Oryctolagus cuniculus: one gene and its partner. The protein of the gene in region 2 binds, or shares a complex with, the protein of the main gene of each other region. Links are inferred from orthologs where the notes say so. Each region holds a gene or a part of one and is shown on either strand. Other genes may lie near its edges.

Region 1 (7,167 bases), on a different chromosome or scaffold from region 2:
CACAGCACTTGTGTTGGACACGCCACATCCTGCGTCATACAGCACACCGGAAATAGACACAGTGCCCTGCCACCGCCAATGCCCCTGCCAGCCTGGGCGACCGGAATCAATCACACACACACACACACACACACACCCCCGTTAGAAAGCCTGAGGGGAAAACTGGATGACCTAAGAAGCAAGCAAACACATAACAAGCGTCAGGATTTATTTGTGCTATTTTCCATGTTATTACTTCGCTGTATTATACAGTCATGAATATGTATATAAAAATGACACAAAGACAAGCTCTCTGAGTTATTAAACGAAGAGCATAAAGTGGCTTCCTGAATTATCATCCCAACCATTTCTATGTAAAGAAGAAAACAGCCTAAACCAACAAAGCTGGGAAAACCTTAATTATCGGCTAGAAGATACTAAAATTAGTGGACACAAATTGGTACTCTGAGACCTACGGAATGATTTTGGAAAAAACAGACTACTGCTTTCGCTTCATTGATTTTATGTTTTAGGATTGAATTCAAATTAATTGTGAATAGTAGCTCCTTCTCCACACAGTGTAACAGGACCTTGTTACAGGCATTTTGAGGAACAAAGTCTCTCAGCTGCAGGAGGGCTCGTAAAACCCAGGAAGTGCAGCAATCATACCGACCGAGGCCGACCCAATCGGCTGCGCTTCTCGGAGGATGCAGGTCTGTGCGAAGCAGCATGGGCAGCCTGACAGCAACGAGCACTTCTCACGACGGACCACACACCAGCACTGCCCAGAAACCCGAGAATCAGCTCACCCAACACTGCGGAGCACGCACAAGGCGGCAGCGCTGACGGGGCGGGGGCGTGGGGGGGTCTGACGGATCACGCACTGATCATCTATCTGAGCCCCTGGTCAGAGCCACGAGGACAGAGCCAAGAAGACACCAGCTCACCCAACACTGCGGAGCACGCACAAGGCGGCAGCGCTGACGGGGCGGGGGCGGGGGGGGGTCTGACGTATCAGGCACTGATCATCTGAGCCCCTGGTCAGCCCAGAGGACACAGCAGTGCTCCTCCTGCCGCACCAGGCATGCAGCCCCCCGAGCCAGCACAGAGGCGCTCAGAGGCACTTCAAGGGCTCTGCCCTCTCCCCTACATCTCCGCAGTATGCCCGCTCCCACCTCTCCCCCTGCACCCCTCTCCCTGCCCCCATGGCTCTTCAACTCGCCCCCTGAACGCAGGCCGCCCCGTCTCTCGAGAATCTTGTCCGCGGGGACTCCCTTCTCCCCTCCGCTGCAGCTGCGCCTCAGGACGGCAGCCCAGTCACCCGGCTTCCCTCCACGTGCAAAGTGCCGGGGAGAAGCCACCGTCTGGGGCCTAACTCTGGAAGCAGCACCTCTTCATTTTTGCCAGCGCTGACTCATCAGATACAACGACCCCTGGGAGGACAGAGGAACTGACCAGCGGAGCAAGTCAGGGCAGAGGCGGCGTGCTGCAAACAGGGAGCAGAGGGGCGCTGCCAATGGGGGAGAAACGTGGCCCCCGGAGCACCTCCCACACCATCAGACACGAACAAACCTTAACACTCTAGTGAAATACAGGGAACACTTCCAGGTCTCTAGACAGGTACCATTTCTTAAGCCAGACACAAAGACACTGACTCCACGAGAAGACAGATATCTGATTACATTCAACTTAAGTACCGCCACTGATTGAAAGCTACCTTAAAGACAGTAGAAGATTGGGCCAGATCAGGCCGCTGCCTGCAACACTGGCAACCATGAGTCCTGGCTGCTCCACTTGCAATGCAGCTCCCTGCTAATGTGCAGACGATGGTCCCAGTGGTCGGGCCCCGGCCGCAAACACGGGAGACCCAGAGGGAGTCCCAGCTCCTGGCTGCCACCCGCCCCAGCCCTGGCTACTTCATCTGGGGGTGAACCAGCAGACGGAAGACCAGTCTCTTCTCACGGCCGATCAAGTAAACAAATAAATAAGACAATGAAAGATTCACAAACTCAAAACACAACCAACAAACATTTACTGTTAATAATATAAAAAAAGAATGTGGGATCTATGTTAGAGTGTGGCAGGTTAAGTCGAAGCCTACAACACCAGCATCTCTTGTCCACGGGTTTGAATCCCGGCTGCTTCGCTTCTGAACTGTCGGTTAGCCAAGACCAAAACCCGCGCTCACCTGTTGTGGCTGAGGGAGGCTGTGACGGGCGTGGGCACAATGGTCTGCAAGCCCTCCCCTTCTATCTCCGTGCCGACCAGGCAGATGAGCTGCAGCTCTGGCAGTCCCACGCAGTTCACTTCATGCCAACTTTTACCTGGAAGAGCCGCGTCGAACGGGCAAGACCGCTTATCAAAAGCCAAAGTAAAGGCTCCGAACTTCTATGTGGCAATGTCACCCTTACCCCGGCCTCTTCTCTACTCGTCTAGCGTTTCTGTTACTCAATAATTCCCAACGTAAAAAGATAAGGAAGCTGCAAAACTGCTTGACAAAACTAGCAGCAAATGCATGAGCGACTGCTCACCGTAACGTCAGCGCGGAGATCCCAACCCAGCGCCCGACCCCAGCACGGCCCCAGTCCACACAGAGGTGGGCGGCTTACTCTCCATGAGGTCCAGGAAAACCAAGAACGCTGCGTACACTTGCGTGGCATCTCCCGCATCCAACTCCATCATCTCCAAATACTGGAAATCAAAATGGGGGCGTCAGACGCGGAAGGGAGGCTCGGGTGCCCCTCCAGTGGGCGCGTGTCACTGCACGTGTGCTATCTGCACAGAAGGTAGAGGGCGACGCAGGATGGCATCTGCCTCCGGAGGGTCTGCAGCTGTCAGAACACACAAACTGGGCAAAAACGACCTGTGACCGCGATGGGATGAGACCACACACGGAGCTCCCCTCGGGGTGTGGCCGGTGAGTGACAGAACGGGCCCAAGGCCCTGCCCTTAGAACAAGCAACGCAGAGCCACAGCGAGCAGTCGACAAGGTGAGGGTGAGCCACACGCGTCCGAGACCCGCAGCAGCAGCCGTGGGCTGTCCCGGGGTCTCGTGGGGGCCTGTCACCTGCATGGGGAGACACTGCCGGAACGCCACGCCCCCTCCTCCCCACGCCCGGGAGGTGTCACCGAAGCGGACAAACCAGCTGCAGGGGGAACGCGTCTCCGAGGGGACGCCGAGGCCGCGCGTCCCCGGGCGAGCAGGGCTCGCGCAGGGCGAGCTCCGCGAGGGCGGCTGGGAAGACGGGTGTCAGCGCACAGGTGCAGATCAGGGCTGCCATGCAACCGCAGGCGGGGCCACGCCAGAGGTCCGGATCCTCCGCGCGACGGGGCGCCGAGGGGCTGTGAGCCGGACGGCAGGGGAGTGGTGCCTGCGGGGGCCGCCCTGCCACCACGCTCCACGGACGGACCTAAGTCACTGGCAAACCGAGCCACACAAAGGCAGAGCCGGAAATCAGATACCCACTGGTGTTTATTTCTCCCCGACTGCAGAGTGCGTCCGCTCCGAAGCTTGCTGTCCAGGTCTACAGAGCGCAGGTCTGCACACGGACCCGCACTGCACCCGGCCGGGCCTCTTCACAACCGACTGAGCGGACTCAGTGAGAAAAGTGCTGGGCAGGAAACGCTAAGTCCCTCAGTTCTCTGCGGAACTCGGCCTCCACGCTCAGTCTATCACGGCCTGCACTGGAGGCTGAGCCTGGGGCTGGCTCTGTGCACACCGCAGGAAGCCACGACCACGGGCCACCAGGCCACTGACCACCGGCCAAGTGGCCGGCATCCTGCAGCCCCAGCCACTGCACTCATCCGGGGAGTGAACGGTGGAGGGTCGGGTCTCCCTCTCCCTCTCTCTAACTCTTCCAAATAAACGGTAAAGTCTCTAAAGACAGAGTTACAGAGAGAGGGGTCTTCCATCCGCTGGTTCACTCCTCCAATGGCTGCAACAGCCAGAGCTGTGCCCATCTGAAGCCAGGAGCTTCTTCCCGGTCTCCCACGCGGGTGCAGGGCCCAAGCCCCTGGGCCATCCTCCACTGCTTTCCCAGGCCACAGCAGAGAGCAGCCGGGACTCGAACCGGCGCCCATATGGGAGGCCAGGGCTTTAACCGGCTGCGCCACAGCGCCGGCCCCAGTCTTAAGAAACGTAAAAGAGCGAGCTGAGTGACCAGCACGGCCACTCCCCGCGGCAGACGCCTGACCAACAGCCACCGACCTAAGCCGGAGGAGCCCCACGCGGTGCGCGCCGTGGTCACCCCGTTTCTCAGGGGGAGACCCCCAACACCGCGCCGCCCTGGGTGCGGGGGAGAGGGGGAGGGGGCGAGGGCGGGGGAGGGGGCGAGGGCGAGGGCGGGGGGCGGGGGCGGGACTCGGCACACGGGGCAACCGGCCCTCCCGACCTCGCGGGCCCATCGCCACCCGCACGGCTCCCCGGCCGCGTCCCCGCCCACGCGACACCCCGCACGGCTCCCCGGCCGCGTCCCCGCCCACGCGACACCCCGCACGGCTCCCCGGCCGCGTCCCCGCCCACGCGACACCCCGCATGGCTCCCGGCCGCGTCCCCGCCCACGCGACACCCCGCACGGCTCACCGGCCGCGTCCCCGCCCACGCGACACCCCGCATGGCTCCCGGCCGCGTCCCCGCCCACGCGACACCCCGCACGGCTCACCGGCCGCGTCCCCGCCCACGCGCCACCCCGCACGGCTCCCGGCCGCGTCTCCGCCCACGCGTGAGAGGAGCCCGCGCCCGGCCCCTCACCTTGGGGTGGCTGCCGATCCAGGCGTCCTCGGGGGCCCACGGGCGAGCGCCGCCGTCGCCGCCGCGCTCCGCCATGGCGCGCCGCGCTGCACCGACCCGCGCGCCTGGCTCCGCCTCCCGGCTGCGCACGTGCGGCCCGCGGCTGGGGCCGCGCGCCGGGCTCCGCCTCCAGTGCACGCGGATCGGCGTCCGGCCGGGAGCACGGGCCTCGCGCCTGGGTTCCGCTGCCCCCGCAGCCCGCCCGGACCGGAAGTCGCAGACGCCTCCCGGCGTCGCCGCGTTTCCTCAGAGCCGGGCCGAGTCCCGCGTGAGGCGGCCGCCGCGGCGCTCAGAGCCCGCGTCCGGGGATGCGGGGAGCGGATGAGGGGCCGCGTCCCCAGGAGCGGGGAAGCGGCCTGAGGAGAGGGCGGTCGCCGGCCCGGCGCCGCTGCGGGGTGCAGCGCGGGAGCCTGGGAGGAAGGGGCCGCGGGGCGGGCGGCTCGGAACCCAGAGGCCCAGGCCGGACCCAGGCCGGACGGGACGTCTCCTTCCGGACTCGGCAGGCCCTGGGCACGAGGCCCAGCAGGAAGCCGCCAGAACTCCCGGGCATAGTGCGCCGGGCCACCGCCTAGGGGTGCGGGAAGCGAGCGGGACGACGGGGGGCGCACGCCTGCCCAGGAGAGCCCCAGCTCGCGGGCCAGAGCCGCCGGAGTGCGCGTGGGAAAGTGGAGCAGGATACACGCTGGGGGAAGGAGTGCCAACCCCGGGCCTCCCACGGAGAGTCACGGGACACGGACGCCGGGGGGAGCAGCAGGGCCACCCCTGAGCCTCCCCACGGAGAGTCACGGGACACGGACGCCGGGGGGAGCAGCAGGGCCACCCCTGAGCCTCCCCACGGAGAGTCACGGGACACGGACGCCGGGGGGAGCAGCAGGGCCACCCCTGAGCCTCCCCACGGAGAGTCACGGGACACGGACGCCGGGGGGAGCAGCAGGGCCACCCCTGAGCCTCCCCACGCGGAGTCACGGGACACGGACGCCGGGGGGAGCAGCAGGGCCACCCCTGAGCCTCCCACGGAGAGTCACGGGACACGGACGCCGGGGGGAGCAGCAGGGCCACCCCTGAGCCTCCCACGGAGAGTCACGGGACACGGACGCCGGGGGGAGCAGCAGGGCCACCCCTGAGCCTCCCACGGAGAGTCACGGGACACGGACGCCGGGGGGAGCAGCAGGGCCACCCCTGAGCCTCCCACATGGAATCACGGGACACGGACGCCGGGGGGAGCAGCAGGGCCACCCCTGAGCCTCCCACGGAAAGTCACAGGGAACAAGTGTCCCACACCCAGGAGCGCGCACCTCTGATGGACCCTGCACCACCCATCGCAGTCACAAGAAACGCACGCTGGAGGGAGCAGGAGCCCATGTCCCGCAGCTCACACGTCTGATGGACCTTGAGTGCCCTGTGCGAAACACAGGAAAGGGACGCTGAAGGGACCAGGTGGTCCCCAGCGAGGAGGGTGGAGAGCCCCACTGGACAGCCCCACACCTCCCGCCCTGAATCACAGCATGGCTGCAGATGAAGATCTGAGCTGAGACCAGAGCTGCCCCCAAGGAGCCTGGGAAATGACCCACTAACAGGAAGCAAAGAATGCTTGTCAGAGAAAAGTGGTTGAACCCAGACTTCCCTCAATTCAAAAAACCGGGGTATGGTCCAAGTTCTCTGATGTGAAAAAATCAAGAAAACTGATCACTTTGCTACAGCTAGACCTTAGGATGAATTTGATGTTGAAACTGACATAAGGCTTTTAAAGTGACTTATAACTATTCTCAATGAAGTAAGAAAATATGTGTTGAGCAGATGAAAACATCAGGAGACAACCAGAGCATCTCAGGAGAGAGGAAGAAAAACATGTTAAAAGCCAAATGGAGGCCGGCGCCGCGGCTCACTAGGCTAATCCTCCGCCTAGCGGCGCTGGCACACCGGGTTCTAGTCCCAGTCGGGGCGCCGGATTCTGTCCTGGTTGCCCCCCTTTCAGGCCAGCTCTCTGCTGCGGCCAGGGAGTACAGTGGAGGATGGCCCAAGTGCTTGGGCTCTGCACCCCATGGGAGACCAGGAGAAGCACCTGGCTCCTGCCTTTGGATTAGCACGGCGTGCCAGCCGCAGCACGCCAACTGTGGTGGCCATTGGAGGGTGAACCAATGGCAAAAGGAAGACGTTTCCCTCTGTCTCTCTCTCACTCTCCACTCTGCCTCTCAAAAAAAAAAAAAAAAAGTCAAATGGAAATTCTGGAACTTAAAATTATGATTTCAGAAGAAAAACATCTCACGGTTTGAGGAAAAATCAAGTGAACTTGAAGGCAGAGAAACAGGAAATTTCCAACATGCACAACAAAAACTGCTTTCAAAAAATGAGCAGAGCATCATTAAGGTACAATGTCAGACAACCTAGCATACATCCAA
Region 2 (7,090 bases):
CGCTCTTATAGCAACGCCGCCTGGACGTGACGTCATCACGCACGGCGCGCGCCGGCACCAATCAGAAAAAGGCATTGGAGAACGAGACGCTGGGCTAGAGTGCCGCGCTGGGAGGACCGGGCGTGTTCCGGACGCGAGGTGGGCCGGCGGCACCGCCGTGGGCTGTTGTTTAAAGTCACGCCGCTTAGCCCGGGGTCCCGGCGTCCCGTGGGAGTCCAGGGCGCCGTCCGGGTCCCCCCCGTGGGAGTCCGGGGCGCCGTCCGGGTCACCCCGTGGGAGCCCAGGGCGCCACCGTGTCACCGCCGTGGGAGCCCGGGGCGCCGTCCGGGTCCCCCCGTGGGAGCCCAGGGCGCCACCGTGTCACCGCCGTGGGAGCCCGGGGCGCCACCGTGTCCCCCCCGTGGGAGCCCGGGGCGCCGTCCGGGTCCCCCCGTGGGAGCCCAGGGCACCCTCCGGGTCCCCCTTCCGTGGGAGCTCAGAGCGTCGTTCGGGTCTCTCCGTGGGAGCCCAGGGCGCCGTCTGTGTCCCCTCTGCGGGATCCCAGGGCACCATCCGAGCCCACCCCCTCTGCGGGAGCCCAGGGCGCCCTCCTGGCCCCCAGTGAGCAGCGGAGCCCGCGCCGTGGCCTGCTGCCTCCCGGGATGCCCAGGAGGGTGCGGGCCTGCACGGCGCCTTGGAGAGCGCGGTGGGTGAGGGCTCCCTGCCTGGGCCCTGCGGCCGATGTCGAGGGCGGCGCCGGGGCCTCCCCGGGATGGGAGGGCTCCAGAACAGGCGCCGGTCTATGCGCCCCGACCCCCGGGCACCGCCTGGAGCCGACGGTTTCTCCATCTCTCTTGGCCTGAAACGGGCCCTGGAATATCCCAGCCCGTCCTCTCCGGAGTAATCCTGCTCGTCCAATGCTCCCGTTACACAGGCAAGATGCTTAGCTCCAGGCTAAACGCGCGGTGTGCATTTACAAAACTGATTTTAATAGACTTTATTTATTTGAAGGGGCCAGCGAGAGAGAGGTCTTCCATCCACTGGCTCACTCTGCAGGCACCGGTCCGTGCAGGCTGCAGCGCGAGCCGGGAGCTCCGTCGGGTCTCCCACGAGGGTGGCAGGGCCCGGGCATCCGCGGGCAGCTGGGGCGCCGGCGTGGCAGGTCCAGCTCGGGACTAACCGGGAGCCTGCGGAGGGCTCGCTGCCGGCCGTCACCGCCACTGTACTGAGTTTCCTTCAGCCCTGGCGTCACCTGCACGAGGGGCAGAGCTCAGTGAGGGGGAGACCAGGGCCCTGGCAGGTTTGCTCCTCTGCCTGACCTGCTCTGTGCTCTGTTACCACGGATCTGGGGAAACTTGATAGCTGTCACTGTCACTTCTAAAAAATGTTTATTTAAAAAAAAAAAAAAGCTTGTTTCTTCAAAAGGCAGAGCAAGGGCCGGTGTGACCTCATTTTTGGTAAGAAAATAAAATTCACCTTTTAATTCCCGTTTTTCCACAAACTTTTTGAAAGTCGCCTTGCATTGTTTAAAACATGCTTAGTGAGTGGTCTGGAAAAAGAAGAGTTCCAAATTCTCCCCCTCAGCCTGAGTCAGTCCTAGCTTAAAGGACCCGCTCGCTCAGCGACCTGGCACCTGAGCACTGAGGCGCCGGAACCTCCGTTCCTGGAACTAGGGACCCTGCGTGGACAAGGCCTCGTCCTTCACCGGGACAGCTCGCTGGAACCAGCTGGGCACCGGATAAGCCCCCAGTGCAGTACAGGGCACCCTGGGACTCCTGCATCAGGCAGACTCTCCCCAGAGAGAAAGCAGGCGGCTCCGTGCCGGCCGGGCATGGGGACAGGGGCGGCAGCAAGCAGGCAGGGCAGAAACGGGCCGAGGTTGACCGTGGGGCGGGCGCCGTGGCACAGCGGGTTAAGCCGCCACCTGTGATGCCGGCATACCATATGGGCACCAGTTCAAGTCCCGGCCGCTCCACTTCCTGTCCAGCTCCCTGCTAACCCACCTGGGAAAGCGGCAGAAGATGACCCCAGTGCTGGGCCCCTGCGCCCATGAGGGAGACCTGGAGGAAGCTCCAGGCTCCTGGCTGCAGCCTGGCCCAGTCCCAGCCCTTGTGGCCATCTGGGGAGTGAACCAGCGGATGGAGGACCTCTCTTCTCTCTGTGCCTTTCAAATACATTAAAATAATTATAATAAAGCTGGACTGTGGTGGCGGTTGCACAGTCCTACCCTACATTCTACCAAACACCCATTAACTGTGGACCGAAAACCCGTGAGCCTTTATGGTAAACGAGTCGTCTTCAGAAAGTGTCCATTAGGATAAATCAAGCATGGATTTCAGAATTACTTTGTACCAAAATGAACTTAGCTTTCAATTCCATTCTTCCACTAAGCTTTTTTTAAAGATTTTATTTATTTGAAAGAGAGTTACAGAGAGAGGTAGAGAGAGAGAGAGAAAGAGGTCTCCATCTGTTGGTTCACTCCCCAGATGGCCACAACGGCCGGAGCTGTGCCGATCCGAAGCCAGGAGTCAGGAGCTTCTTCCGGGTCTCCCACGTGGGTGCAGGGCCCAAGCACTTGGGCCATCTTCTACTGCTTTCCCAGGCCACAGCAGAGAGCTGGATCAGAAGTGGAGCAGCCGGGTCTCGAACCGGCACCCATATGGGATGCCGGTGCTTCAGGCCAGGGCTTTAACCCACTGTGCCACAGCACCAGCCCCCCACAAAGCTTTGAAATACCTCACATACTTGTTTTAGTTTTTATCAAAATTGTACACTATAACATGTCTAAAAATTGTAGACCAGAACATGTTTAATAAACCTGAAGTATAAATATAGAGTGTGTGGTGTGACAGAATGCCGCGGCCCCTGCTGGAGCACTGGGTGTGAGTCCTGGCCACACTTCTGACCCCAGCTCCCTGGGAGGCAGCAGGTGACGGCCCAGCTGCACAGGTCCCTGCCACTCCAATGGGAGACCCAGACGGAGTTGCCTGCTCCTGGCTTTGGCCTGGCCTGGCCTTGGCCGTTGTGGGCGTCTGGGGAGTGAACCAGTGGATGGGAGATGTCTCTCTCAGATAGAAAGGAGATAAACATTTAAATACACGTGTAAGTAAACAACATCAAAACAATTCTGAAGCACCACCCAGGACACGGAAACATTCTAGAAGCCCCCACTGACGCCCCCAAATTCTGAGCCCTGAACTCGCAGCGGCTGCACAGTGTTCTCTGTACAACCTCTGCGGCGCAAGGGGACCGGGGCAGGGCGCCCGGCCTCCCCACGCCGTCTCCACAGCTGTCCCCGCGGATGGGAGCACCCACATGTCACCTCCCAGGACTGCAGCCACAAACTCAGGGTGAGTCCACAAGTTTATTGAGGCCTCCTGGGACCGAGGCCCTGCAGGAACAGATGAACACGCCGGGTCCCAGAAGCCCACAGTTTGGGAACCGGTCACAACGACACCAGCACAGCCACTGAGAGCTCGCGGCGGGGAGCCGGAAGGATGCAGAGTCCGACGGGCCAGGGCGCTCACTGCAGGCCGGCCCACTGCAGGGAGGTGTAGACCACCTTGCCGCCGGGCTGTGGGGAGCAGAGCAGCACGGTCTTCCTCACGCTGGTGCCCAGGCGGCCGGCAGAGACCAGGTCCTGCAGGGGGATGGGGTCGTCGGGGGCCCAGCACTGGGCGATGTAGTGCGCGTGGAAACGGAGCGGGTCGCCTGAGGGAGAGAGGCAGGTAGGCGCCGGGCAGCGACACGGCCCCGGCTGCCGTACTTGCACAGGGGGGCGATCGCTCTTATCCTTCCTCGTCGCTATCCGACGCAAACAACCAAATGTGGAGTGGACGGCCTCCCAGCCCCACCCGGGAACCGCCGGTGACGCTGCCGTGGTCTGACCAGGACGTGGCCCCCCAAACTCACGCAGAACCCCAAAGCCCCGGGGCTAATGTGGACCGATGGGGTGCGGCGGAGCCTGCTCCGGCTCCGGTATTTGGAGGCGGGGCTTCGGGCAGCCCCGGGACGGCACCGCGCTGGCACTGTCGGCAGAGCCCCTGGTGGGCGCGTCTCTGCCGCTCGGCTCCCGGTGCCGGTGCCTACATCAACCTCTGACAGCTATTGCTTTGTTTTCTGACTGCTAACTTAGTAATAATCTCTTTGGCTGTTTTCCAACTTTTCTAAAGATATAGTCATTTATTTGAAAGATTTACAGAGAGGGAGAGACAGAGAGGTGTTTCATCCTCTGGTTCACTCCCCAAGTGGCTGGGCCAGGCCAAAGCCAGAACCTAGGAGCTTCCTCCAGGTCTCCCACGTGGGTGCAGGGGCTCAAGCACTTGGCCATCTTCCCCTGCTTTCCCAGGTGCATTAGCAGGGAGCTGGATCGGAAGTGGAGCAGCCGGGACTCGAACCAGCACCCACATGGGAGGCCGGCACCACAGGCGGTGGCTTTACCCACGAGGCCGCGTTGCTGGCCCTGTGTCTCCCGATCTCTAAATGCTGCGGATGATCCTGCAGGGGGCACTCCTGTGCAGCTGTCTACAGATTTCCAAGTGAGCCTTGGGGGTCACAGGAAACATCTCATGAAAGCTACCAAACCACCTCCTAAGTGAACTTGGGGGCTCCCCAGTGGTTCCTGTCCTTCCAAGAGTTTCAAAAGTCGGAAAAATGTGAGGCAAACAGAAATCCCAGCGTCCCGGTTGCAGTCCCGGCTACTCTGTTCGGACCCAGCTCCCTGCTGATGCGCCTGGGGAGGCAGTGGAAGATGGCCCAGTCCCTGGATCCCTGCCACCCACGTGGGAGGCCCGGGTACCCCATGGAGTTCCTGGCCCGGCCCAGCCCTGGCACTTGCAGCCATGCGGGGAATGAACCAATGGATGCATGACCCCTCTATTGCTCTGTCTTTAGAAGAAACCAAAAAAAAAAAAAAAAAGGAAAAAGGCCGACTACGCCGGGACCCGGTGCAGCGGCCGGGGCCCAGCCCAGACTCACCTGGGTAGACCAGGAAGTCGCCGCCGAACTTGCCCGCGGCGCTGAGGAAGAAGCCGCGCTCCCACAGGTCCCTGTAGATGCTGTAGCGCAGCTCGTGGGCAGGCCGGCCGGCGTGCGGCCAGTCCTCGGACTGCACGCGCCAGTCCAGCGGCCTGGCCTTGACCGGTCGCGGCCTGGCGGTGGCCAGCTGGACGAGCAGAGCGGACCTGGGCAAGGGGGCCGCCCCACCGGAAGGCCCTGGCTGGGAAGACGAGGGGGCTGGGGCAGGGGGGTGAGGTTAGGCTCGGTCGCCGGCCCCCACGCTGCACTCCCCGGGGTCAGGCCCGCGCTCACCTGCCTCCTCCTGCTCCCCGGAAGCCTGGCCCTCCTGGGCCTGCCCTGCGGCCGCCTCCCGCGCCCCGCCGGCCCCCGCCTCCTGCTCCAGCTTCTGCTTCTTGGCGGCCTGGCCCTCCGCGATCTTCTCCAGCAGCTCCTGACGCCGGGCCTCCCGGGCCTCCACGGCCAAGGCGCTCTGCTCCTGGAAGCTCTGCTCTTGTTGGCGCTTGAAGGATGCCAGAGCCTGCGGGGCGGACTCAGCTGCAGCCCCGCGCCCAGCGTGCAGCCCGACCCCGAGGTCCCGGGCTCAGACCCCTTACCAGGCCGTGCTGGCGCGGATCCGGGCGCGGGGCGCTGACCAGGGTCACGGCGCCGATCTCGGCCAGCAGCCGCGCCTCTTCGGGCATCAGCAGCAGCGGGAGGCCCAGGCGCGAGTTCTGGCGGGGCCCGCGGGGCAGGGCGCCCACCGTGCGGCCCCCCACGCCCAGGCGCTCGCGCAGCGCCTGCACCGCCTCGGCCCCCCACACCAGGGAGCGCCCGTTCGCCACCTCCACCACCAGCATCCTCCTGCGGGAGCCGAAGGCGAGGCGGTCACTCAAACCGCGCGGCGCCGCCGGCCGCCCGGGGGTCGCGCCGGAGCCCCGCCCCGGCCCCGGAGCCGCCCGCGGGCCTCGGAGGGGCGGGACCTCGCCCTGGCCGCGGCACAGCCTCCGCACCCGGCGGTCGGCGCCTCGCTCGGCGCCGCCACCGCAGGACCCGCCGCCGTGCCTTCGCGCCTCAGACAGAAACCGACGCAGGCGCGGCGCCACGCCCCCTCCGGGGCGGCCACCTTTGGCACCGCCTCCTGCCCGTCAGAGCGCCGCCGAGGCCACGCCCCCTCCCGGAAGCCCGAGCTCGGCCACTCCCCTGGAGCCGCCGGGGTTCGGCTCTCCGTGCTCGAAGCCCCGCCCCCTCCCGAGCGCAGGGCGCTCAGCGTTCGGGAGTTCTCGGGACCTGTCAATCCTGCAGCCTGGGCCCGCCCCCCGCCAGGCTGCCGGGTCGGGGAGTGCCCGCCCCACGACCGAACCCCTAAGCCAGAGGCCCCGCCCCCGCGCACCCGCCGTCCCTCGCGCGGGCGGGGTCAGCTCACTTGCGAGCTGTCCGTCCGCGTCCTTGCTTCCCCTCAGAGTGTCCCGCCGTCCTCCGGTAAAAGCAGCTGGTCTCCTGGTAAACACCAAGTCCCGACCGAGGTGGAGCCGCCCCCTACGCAGCGCGCCTCGCGCGGCTTCCTCCGCCCACCCATGGCGACCCCCCGCGTCAGACTCGTCATTCCGCCACCTCAGCGAGGCGGGAGGCTGGGACCGCCCCGCCCCCGGACCCCTCGGCCCCGCCCAGCCGCAGCCCTCCGGCTCCCCGGTTCTACCCCGTTCCTGCCCCCGGCGCACGCGGCCCTCAGAGCGCCGCCCCCTCGGGGGTCGCTTTCTCCCCGCCCCCCGTGAAAACGAGGTTGGACGCTCAGTCGCAAACGCGGGGCACTTGCACCCGACTACCTCCGAAGGGAGCCGAAGCTCGTGGCCCCGCCCACATCCGGCCGAGCTGGGGACCCCGCCAACATCCGAACCCCGATTAGCGCACTCGGCTACCTCCGAAGTAAGCCGAAGCTCGTGACCCCGCCCACATCCGAACAGCGATTGGCGCACTCGGCTGCCGCCGAAGTAAGCTGAAGCTTGTGGCCCCACCTCGAAGCGGTGAGCTCAAACCTCCGACGCGGACCGAGGGAACCCGAAGCGAGGCTCCGCCTCCTTCCGAGCGCCGAGCTCCAGACCCCGCCTCCTTCCCG

What was found. The genes of interacting proteins can lie anywhere in the genome.
Region 1: the proteins of TSEN34 (region 2) and TSEN15 are in contact, whole or in part, in a crystal structure (PDB 6Z9U), measured with the Homo sapiens proteins. The link is inferred for Oryctolagus cuniculus from reciprocal best matches to the Homo sapiens genes TSEN34 and TSEN15. Residues at the interface, in NP_001070914.1 of Homo sapiens: Pro251, Leu252, Arg253, Phe254, His255, Ala256, His257, Tyr258, Pro265, Glu266, Asp267, Thr268, Ile269, Pro270, Leu271, Gln272, Leu274, Ser283, Val284, Arg285, Lys286, Thr287, Leu289, Leu290, Cys291, Ser292, Gln294, Val300, Tyr301, Thr302; in NP_443197.1 of Homo sapiens: Leu70, Lys74, Trp76, Thr108, Pro109, Ile110, Thr111, Ala112, Ser113, Leu114, Ser115, His116, Asn117, Ile119, Arg120, Leu123, Leu141, Ile143, Val151, Tyr152, Tyr153, Lys154, Leu155, Thr156, Asp157, Gly158, Phe159, Met160, Leu161, Pro162.

Annotation. Positions count from the first base shown.
Region 1 is NC_091444.1:1,815,539-1,822,705, reverse strand, and holds the start of TSEN15 (tRNA-splicing endonuclease subunit Sen15), read right to left. Parts: upstream 4,885-7,167; 5' UTR 4,805-4,884; coding exon 4,730-4,804; intron 4,260-4,729; exon of another isoform or gene 3,446-4,259; intron 2,671-3,445; coding exon 2,589-2,670; intron 2,304-2,588; coding exon 2,168-2,303; intron 1-2,167. UniProt on the Homo sapiens protein: Non-catalytic subunit of the tRNA-splicing endonuclease complex, a complex responsible for identification and cleavage of the splice sites in pre-tRNA. It cleaves pre-tRNA at the 5' and 3' splice sites to release the intron.
Region 2 is NC_091449.1:4,515,064-4,522,153, forward strand, and holds TSEN34 (tRNA-splicing endonuclease subunit Sen34), read right to left. Parts: upstream 5,835-7,090; coding exon 5,592-5,834; intron 5,516-5,591; coding exon 5,290-5,515; intron 5,215-5,289; coding exon 4,957-5,214; intron 3,691-4,956; coding exon 3,503-3,690; downstream 1-3,502. UniProt on the Homo sapiens protein: Constitutes one of the two catalytic subunit of the tRNA-splicing endonuclease complex, a complex responsible for identification and cleavage of the splice sites in pre-tRNA. It cleaves pre-tRNA at the 5'- and 3'-splice sites to release the intron.